Linked DNA regions of Canis lupus familiaris. The protein of the gene in region 2 purifies or fractionates together with the protein of the main gene of each other region. This does not show direct contact. Links are inferred from orthologs where the notes say so. Each region holds a gene or a part of one and is shown on either strand. Other genes may lie near its edges.

Region 1 (3,745 bases), on a different chromosome or scaffold from region 2:
GCGCGCAGCTTCCCGCCGCCCGAGCGCGCGCAGGGCCAGCCGGCCGGCCCGCCTGCGTGCGTGCGTGCGTGCGTCGCTGCGTGCGTGCGTGCGTGCCGTGCGTTCGCCGGGCACCGCGGCCTCGCCCTCGCCCTCCGCCCCTGCGCCTGCACCGCGTAGGCCGCCCCCCCCCGCGCGCGCCCCGCAGACGACCCCCGCCCGCGTCCCGGCCGGCCCCCCCTTTCCGAATTTAAAGGGGGCGCAGCATTAACGCCTCCCGCCCCAGGTGACCTCTCAGGGGGTCCCCCCGGCAGAGCTGCCCCGCCGCTGAGGAACATGGCGAAGGTGGAGCAGGTCCTGAGCCTCGAGCCGCAGCACGAGCTCAAATTCCGAGGTAAGCGGGACGCCCGCCATGTTCGGCCGCGGGCCCGGCCCGGCCGCCCCGCGCCCCCGCCCGCGCTCGCAGGCACCGGCGGCGCGGTGGTGACGTGAGTGCCCGCCCGGCCCGCGGTCCCCGCCCCGCCCCGCCCGACGGCGCGCCCGCCCCGCGCCCCGCGCCCCGCGCCCCCCCGGCGGCCCCGGCCCCCGCCCCGCCCGCCCGCCTCCCCCCGAGCCGCCCGGCCCCGGAGGCGCGGGGCGCGGTCCCCGTCCCTGCCGAGCGCGCGCCGCCCTCCCGCCCCCGGGGCCGCCGCCTCCGGGCCCCCCGCGGCGGGCACCCGCCGTCTGCCCTGCCTCACCTCCGCTTGGCGCCCGCCGCGCCGCCGCCACCTCGGGGGAGGTTTTACGCACTTGTGTGCTGCGCTCCCGGCTGGACGGGAAGCTCCATGAGGGCAGGACGCGCCGCTCCCTGCCGGGCGCCGGGCACACACCGGCAGGGGGACGAAGCGCCCCGCGCAGGTGGTGGGACGCGGCCCGGGGCCTGCAGCTGGCGTCCCGGCGCCCACGGCCCCGTCTGCGCGGGGGGCGGGGGCGGCGGCGGGGTCCCCGCAGGGCGCGGAGCTCCCCGGCCCCCCAGCAGCTGGGCCCTCTGGGAAGTGCCGCTTCGCACTTCTTGGGGTTTATCTGCCCTGCTTTTTCCCCCGACGACGAAGTACAGGCGTCACGGGCCGTGGGCACCACGTCAGACTTGCCCAGTCTCCTTTTTTTTTTTTTTTTTTTTTTTTAATTAAGATTTTGTTTATTGACTCATGAGAGACACAGGCCGAGGGAGAAGCAGGCTCCATGCGGGGAGCCCGACGCGGGACCCGATCCCGGGTCTGAAGGCAGCGCTAAGCCACTGAGCCACCCGCGCTGCCTAGTCTTTCCTTTTACAACGTGTTGAGTCACCGTCTGCTAGGTGTCTGGTTGGCATCAGAGAGGCAAGGAATGAACAAGCGACCCTCCCGTTCCCCTCCCCAGCTTCGAGCTTACCTCCTCGTGGTGGGGGCGGGAGGGGAGACAAATCAGCAAAAGAAGAGTACTTCAGATTGTGGTAAGTTCCGTGAAGGACATACAAAATAACAGCAGGTGACCTGATGAGCCTATGCTTCAGGTCGGGTGGCCAGGTCACCAGGGGCCGCCAGCGCTTGGCCGGCAGCAGGTGCTCGGTAGGCATCTGTGGAACGGATGCTGGCCAGAGGCACCCTCATCTATATGCACTGGCAGGAGGTAGGACAGGGGAGCTTACCCAGAGTTACCCGGTTGGCACATGGCACGTTTGAACTCAGACTTCAGAGCTCACGCTCTTAACTGTTCTGCCGTCTGACCCCTGGGAAATACTCTAGAGCTGTGGCTGTCACTTTGCCTCCCAGAATAACAATCTGAAATGACTCCAAATGGTATAATGAACCAAAAGATTTTCCAGTTAAAACGAAAATATAAACCCCACAAACCTAACATTGGTTGTGATTCTGGTGGCAGTACTTTGTCCTGGGTGACGTTCTCATGGCCTTCTTCTAGAGCAGCCAGACTCGGGAACAGGGAGCGCAATAGTTTCCGCTCGAATCGTCTGAAGTTCTCTACTCTAGAAGCAGGATTCTGCTACTCCTGAGTATTGGCACATTCATTCGTTCAGTTCACATTTACTGAGTGGCTGCTGCACATGTCAGGTACCAGGGAAGAAGAATCACTTTCGCCCTCAATCCCCCCACCCCAGGCCTTAAGTCTAGGGAAGGAGGCAGATGACAGACCCATCCAGGACAGGTGCAATGATGGAAGGTAATCAGAGTACTCCAAGAGCAGTAAGGAGGTCAGATCCTGGAAAAGGTGTCATTTGAGCTGAGTTTAAAGGTCAAATGGAAGAGACTGAAAGAATGGGGGGGGGGGGGGGGGGCGGGAGCGCGTCAGGCAGAGGAAATCCCATGTGTAGAGGCAAAAAGCCTGAGATGACTGGACCCCTTTGGCAGCAGCAAAGAACATTTGTTGGGGTAGCAAGGCAAGGTAGGGGATGAGACTAGTTAGACAGGAGTAACGTCCAAGGTCTCCTGTGCCTGGACACAACCAGTATCCAAGTTCAAATTGTGTCGCTTCTCCTTAGCTAGTTCTTCCTTGATTGATTCCCATCCCCCTACCTGTCTCCCAGTACATACACTCATCTGTTAGGTTTTTGAAAGAGGTTCTGATTTTTGAGAAAAAGTTTTGGTTTTTTTACGTAAAGATGTTTGATCTTTGGCTGGCAAGTTCACCCCTCAAAGTTAGGTCATTTGTCAGTCCATGGGGATGGAACTCACATCTACTTGCTTCTTTTTTTCTTTTAAAGATTTTATTTATTATTGGGGGAACAGAGAGGCAGAGACACAGGCAGAGGGAGAAGCAGGCTCCATGCAGGGAGCTCGACGTGGGACGTGGGACTCGATCCCAGGACTCCAGGATCACCAGGATCACGGCCCTGGACCGAAGGCGGTGCTAAACCACTGAGCCACCTGGGCTGCCCTACCTTGCTTCTTAGAGAAAGTTCTGTTGTTGCTTAGTGGTGATACTGTGGCTGTTCAGCTTTATAAATGCACAATATTATACAGAGATGGCTGGTTGTATTTAGACAACTGATTTCATCATTTCAACTTCTTTACCTGAAAGGTAAGGCAGAGAACAGTGACCTTTGGCCCTGGGTTGCCCAAAGTAATAATGGTCAAAGTCACTGGATATTTTTGCTAGGGAAGTGGTCCAAGAGAAGTCATGGTATCAGATTGTTGAAGGCTGTTGGCTCGCAACTTCAGAAGAGGCATCTGCAGGCGTGTGTAAACCACTTTATGAGATTGGTTTATTTGTTTTAAACTGAGCACTAAAACAAATTAGAGACTCAGTACTCTGGCTTGCTGCGTAGAGTTCATTCATTTCAGGGTGAGAACTGCCACATTTAACTGATCTGTTCCAAGTTATGCAGAGTGGTGACTAACTTTAGGTGGTTCACTTAGATGAACCAAACCTGTAGGCTGACTTAATAAGAAGGAAATAATTAAAATGCCTAAAATAATACAACCTTATCCAAAGGAAAAAAGTTAATTTTCTTTTAAAGGAGAAAAAGAAGCATCTTTTAAATGCAGCCTAAGATGATAAGGGATTATATATGTTGGATTCTTTTTCATTTTGGGCATTTTGTGTGATTCTGTTGAGGTTAAGGATGTTTTTGAGGAAAAGAGAATGCAGACTTATGTGACTTTGTTCAGACTTCTTGACAGTGCCAGGCAGCACTGTGTTAAGTATCAAAAGAAGAACTGTTGGCCTCCTGAAAGAAGCATGACACTGTGACATTTGTCCTGGTGAAATAGTACAAGCTTTTTGGGGGGTG
Region 2 (3,645 bases):
ATTTAAGAAGATATGTTTGTTCATAGGCATCTTAAAAGTCACTTATATTGACTTCGGTGTTTTTGCTTAAAATCTGTTTCTCATGACTTATTAGTGAGTTAAAAACTAGAATCTGATAGTTTACATATCTGTTCACCATTGCCAAGTCCACAGCACCTTGTGGCCAATGTCGAATAAGGTCCACAGCTCCAGATCCTTCCTTTCCTCCAATCAGCCGAGTGGCTTCTTGCCAATCTACAGCTAATTTAGGCTAACTTGGTAGTAATCTTTCTGGCAATATGCTCCCTAATCAAAGCTTAACCTAGAAGGCAGTACTTATCCCAAAGAAGAAATGGAAATGGTGGAATTTACATATCTGACAGATGATAAAGAATCTCTTAAGTAGACAGAGTACCTTGTTCTACCCCTCATGTTATGTGACGTAATAAGCAGCCCCTTATTTTTCACCCTGAAGGACGAAATCACTCATAAACACATGTGTTCTCTTGAAAATTACAACATTTTGTTTTTCTTATTACTGAGAATGACTTAAATTTAATTTCAGTCTCTGCTCCTGAGTGTTTGGCTTTCTAAGGAAAAGGATATTTTGGATAAACCACAATCTGTGTGCTGTCTTCATACAATGCTGTCCCTCCTAAGCAAGATGAAAGGTAACATGCTGGTGGATGTTGCAGTTCCGTGGGCCCTGAGATGCAGGCTGCTGCTCTTAGAGATGTAGATTATTATATGAAAAACCACATAAATGGGAGGGGAGGATACTTTCTGTTAGTAAAAGGAGTGTACACTACAGTGTCCAGAACATTTTTCTAGGGATCTTTTTAAAAATATTTAAAAATATTTCTATTAATATTTCTATTAATAAGTAGAAAGCTCTCAATGCATTCAAAGTATGCTTTATAAAAATTAAATTCATATTTCATCATCAAAAATAATGTGATACAGGCAGCCTGGGTGGCTTAGTGATTTAGCGCCGCCTTCAGCCCAGGGTGTGATCCTGGAGACCCGGGATCAAGTCCCATGTTGGGCTCCCTGTATGGAGCCTGCTTCTCCCTCTGCCTGTGTCTCTGCCTTTCTCTCTCTCTTTTTCTGTCTCTCATGAATAAATAAAATCTTTAAAAAAATGTGATATGAACAATGCATTATTATTTTTTATTTTTTTTAAAGATGTATTTATTCATGAGAGATGCAGAGAGAGAGAGAGAGAGAGAGGCAGAGGGAGAAGCAGGCTCCATGCAAGGAGCCTGACATGGGACTCGATTCCGGGTCTCCAGGATCAATCACATCCTGGACTGAAGGTGGCGCTAAACCGCTGAGCCACGGGGGCTGCCCTTTATTTATTTTTTTAGTAAGATTTTATTTATTTATTCATGAGAGAGACACAGAGAGAAAGAGTCAGAGACACAGGCAGAGAGAGAAGCAGGCTCCATGCAGGGAGCCCAATGCGGGACTTGATCCTGGGTCTCCAGGATCAGGCCCTGGGGTGAAGGCGGTGCTAAACCGCTGAGCCACCCGGGCTGCCTGAACAATGCATTTTTAATTCATTGAGGTAAATCATACGATCTTTGGTAGAGGTAATTTTTAAGATTCTTTTTGACCTCATTAGAATAATCTTTTATATTATATATAATATATATAGTCTGTTTTATTAGAACATTATTTAACATTTTATTAAAACATTCAATAGTAGTTTTCAGCAATGATGAAAATATTCCAGAGATTTAAAGTTGATTCAGAAGCAAGACAACACAACCTAAATAAATGGAATATAAATATTCTGATAAAAGAAGTTGTGGAAGGTGCTTGGGTGACTCGGTTAAGCGTCTGTCTGCCTTCTGCTCAGGTCATGATCCTGGAGTCGTAGGATCAAGCCCCATGTCAGGCTCCATGCTCAGCAGGGAGCCTGCTTCTCCCTCTCCCTCTGCCTCTTGTGCTTATGCTCTCTCTCTCTCTCTCTCTGTCAAATAAATAAAATCTTTTAAAAAGTTGTGAATTTCTTTTCTAATTCAGAAATATACAAGTATATCACTGAGATATTTAGTTTCAGTGTATGTTTAATGTTAAAGATTGAACAGAAAGAATTGACAAGTTGAGTTTCTTTAACTTTCTCTTTTTGCCTTTAGTGGCCATCGACGAGACCTGGGATTCCCAGTCTGTGTCCCCTTGGTGGCAGCAGATGCGCACAGCTTGTATTCAGTCTGAGAACAATGGCGCTGCCCTGTTGTCTGCACACGTTGGGCATTCCGTTGCCGCACAGATCTCAAACAGTATGACTGAGAAAAAAGTAAGTGAGAAAGGGGCGTACTTGTCCTTGGATAAGCTGGATTTGTACCTGCCCAGCCTGCTGAGGGGCTGCTTTGCCTTGCCTGGGGCTGCAGTGTCTTTGGTGTTATGGAACATCTCGAGTTTGAAATATGTGTCCAGCAGGTTCTCATTTGTCTTTTGCGGAGTGAGGAGTGCAGCCCTTAACTTGTTTATTCAGATGACATGCATATTTGAACTTTTCCATTACCTCGTACTTTTCATCTCGAGGGGAAAAGTACTGTAGTTGGAGGGCAGAGATGTGACTCTGCCAATGGCAGGTGATTTGTGGTAAGTCCCTTAAACATGAGCTTCCTGCTTCAGGTTCCTCATCTAAAGGAGGTCAGGGTTCCTCATCTGAAGGAGGCAGGTTAGACTGCATTATTTCTGAGGTACTCTGAAGTTCTGTATAGTTGTATTTATAGCCCTCCCCTTTTATAAACAAAAGTTGTTTTGGGCAAGTAGCGTTGAAGGATTCAAATAAAAGTTTCCTTTTGACCTTTTGCTTTGTGGTTTTCCCTCATCTCTTGAAGACTCAAATTTATTAAAAAAACAAACAAACAAAACAGACATCTCTTGTATCTCATGGTAGATCAAATAATTTTTTTCTAGAGGGATGTTGCATTTAATCAGATGAGTCACTGAAATAGGCCTGTAGAGATTCACTTAACATTGTGAATCTCAGTAGTATGTATGCTAAATTTAATATTACTGGCATAAGATGTTTATGATAATGGAGAGAAAAGAAATTTGAGGCACATTTTGTATATCGGTGGGTGCGTTCTCAAAAGTACACTACCAGCACTATCCCGGTACTGACAGAAAAAAACGTGGCCCTTGTCAAGGATGGCTCTGCACACTTGTCGAAGTACACACTGGGTGAATCAGGCGTTGCTGCAGGTCTTTCTGTAAATGTCCAGACTCTGTCACTGTTGCCCCCAAGTCAGTCATGTTCCATCCAGCTACGTAGTAATATTCGGGAATCTGCATCTGTGTGCTGCTGTGATGTATCCTTACTGTCCGTCAGCTTTCAAGTTAAAAGCTCATTTAAGTGAATGCTGATCCGGAATCTTTGCCAGAGTATCACCAGTACATTTTGTGTTAGTTTTCCCAGACAGTTTTGGGTGCTGATTCTGAGGCCCTCACTGATTCCTGGGAGGCCCTTTCTCTTGACACTGAGTATTGGAAGCTTCTGCTGAAACAGCTGGAGGATTGTCTCATACTTCAGACCCTACTTCACAGCAAAGCAAACACATCAACCTGCAAAGTGTCGTCGCTGCAGGCTGAGCCACTCCCAAGGCTTTCTGTCAAAAAGTTATTAGAAGGAGGAAAGGGTAAGCTGATGTT

Evidence for each region. The genes of interacting proteins can lie anywhere in the genome.
Region 1: the proteins of RAB3GAP2 (region 2) and VAPB purify together in Homo sapiens (affinity purification with mass spectrometry; 4 studies listed by BioGRID and IntAct, counting the BioPlex papers as one, with this or other methods). This does not show direct contact. The link is inferred for Canis lupus familiaris from reciprocal best matches to the Homo sapiens genes RAB3GAP2 and VAPB.

Annotation. Positions count from the first base shown.
Region 1 is NC_049245.1:43,929,815-43,933,559, forward strand, and holds the start of VAPB (vesicle-associated membrane protein-associated protein B/C), read left to right. Parts: upstream 1-1,287; 5' UTR 1,288-1,344; coding exon 1,345-1,450; intron 1,451-2,942; exon of another isoform or gene 2,943-2,957; coding exon of another isoform or gene 2,958-3,033; intron 3,034-3,745. UniProt on the Homo sapiens protein: Endoplasmic reticulum (ER)-anchored protein that mediates the formation of contact sites between the ER and endosomes via interaction with FFAT motif-containing proteins such as STARD3 or WDR44.
Region 2 is NC_049259.1:15,626,117-15,629,761, reverse strand, and holds part of RAB3GAP2 (rab3 GTPase-activating protein non-catalytic subunit), read left to right. Parts: intron 1-544; coding exon 545-650; intron 651-2,120; coding exon 2,121-2,281; intron 2,282-3,403; coding exon 3,404-3,632; intron 3,633-3,645. UniProt on the Homo sapiens protein: Regulatory subunit of the Rab3 GTPase-activating (Rab3GAP) complex composed of RAB3GAP1 and RAB3GAP2, which has GTPase-activating protein (GAP) activity towards various Rab3 subfamily members (RAB3A, RAB3B, RAB3C and RAB3D), RAB5A and RAB43, and guanine nucleotide exchange factor (GEF) activity towards RAB18.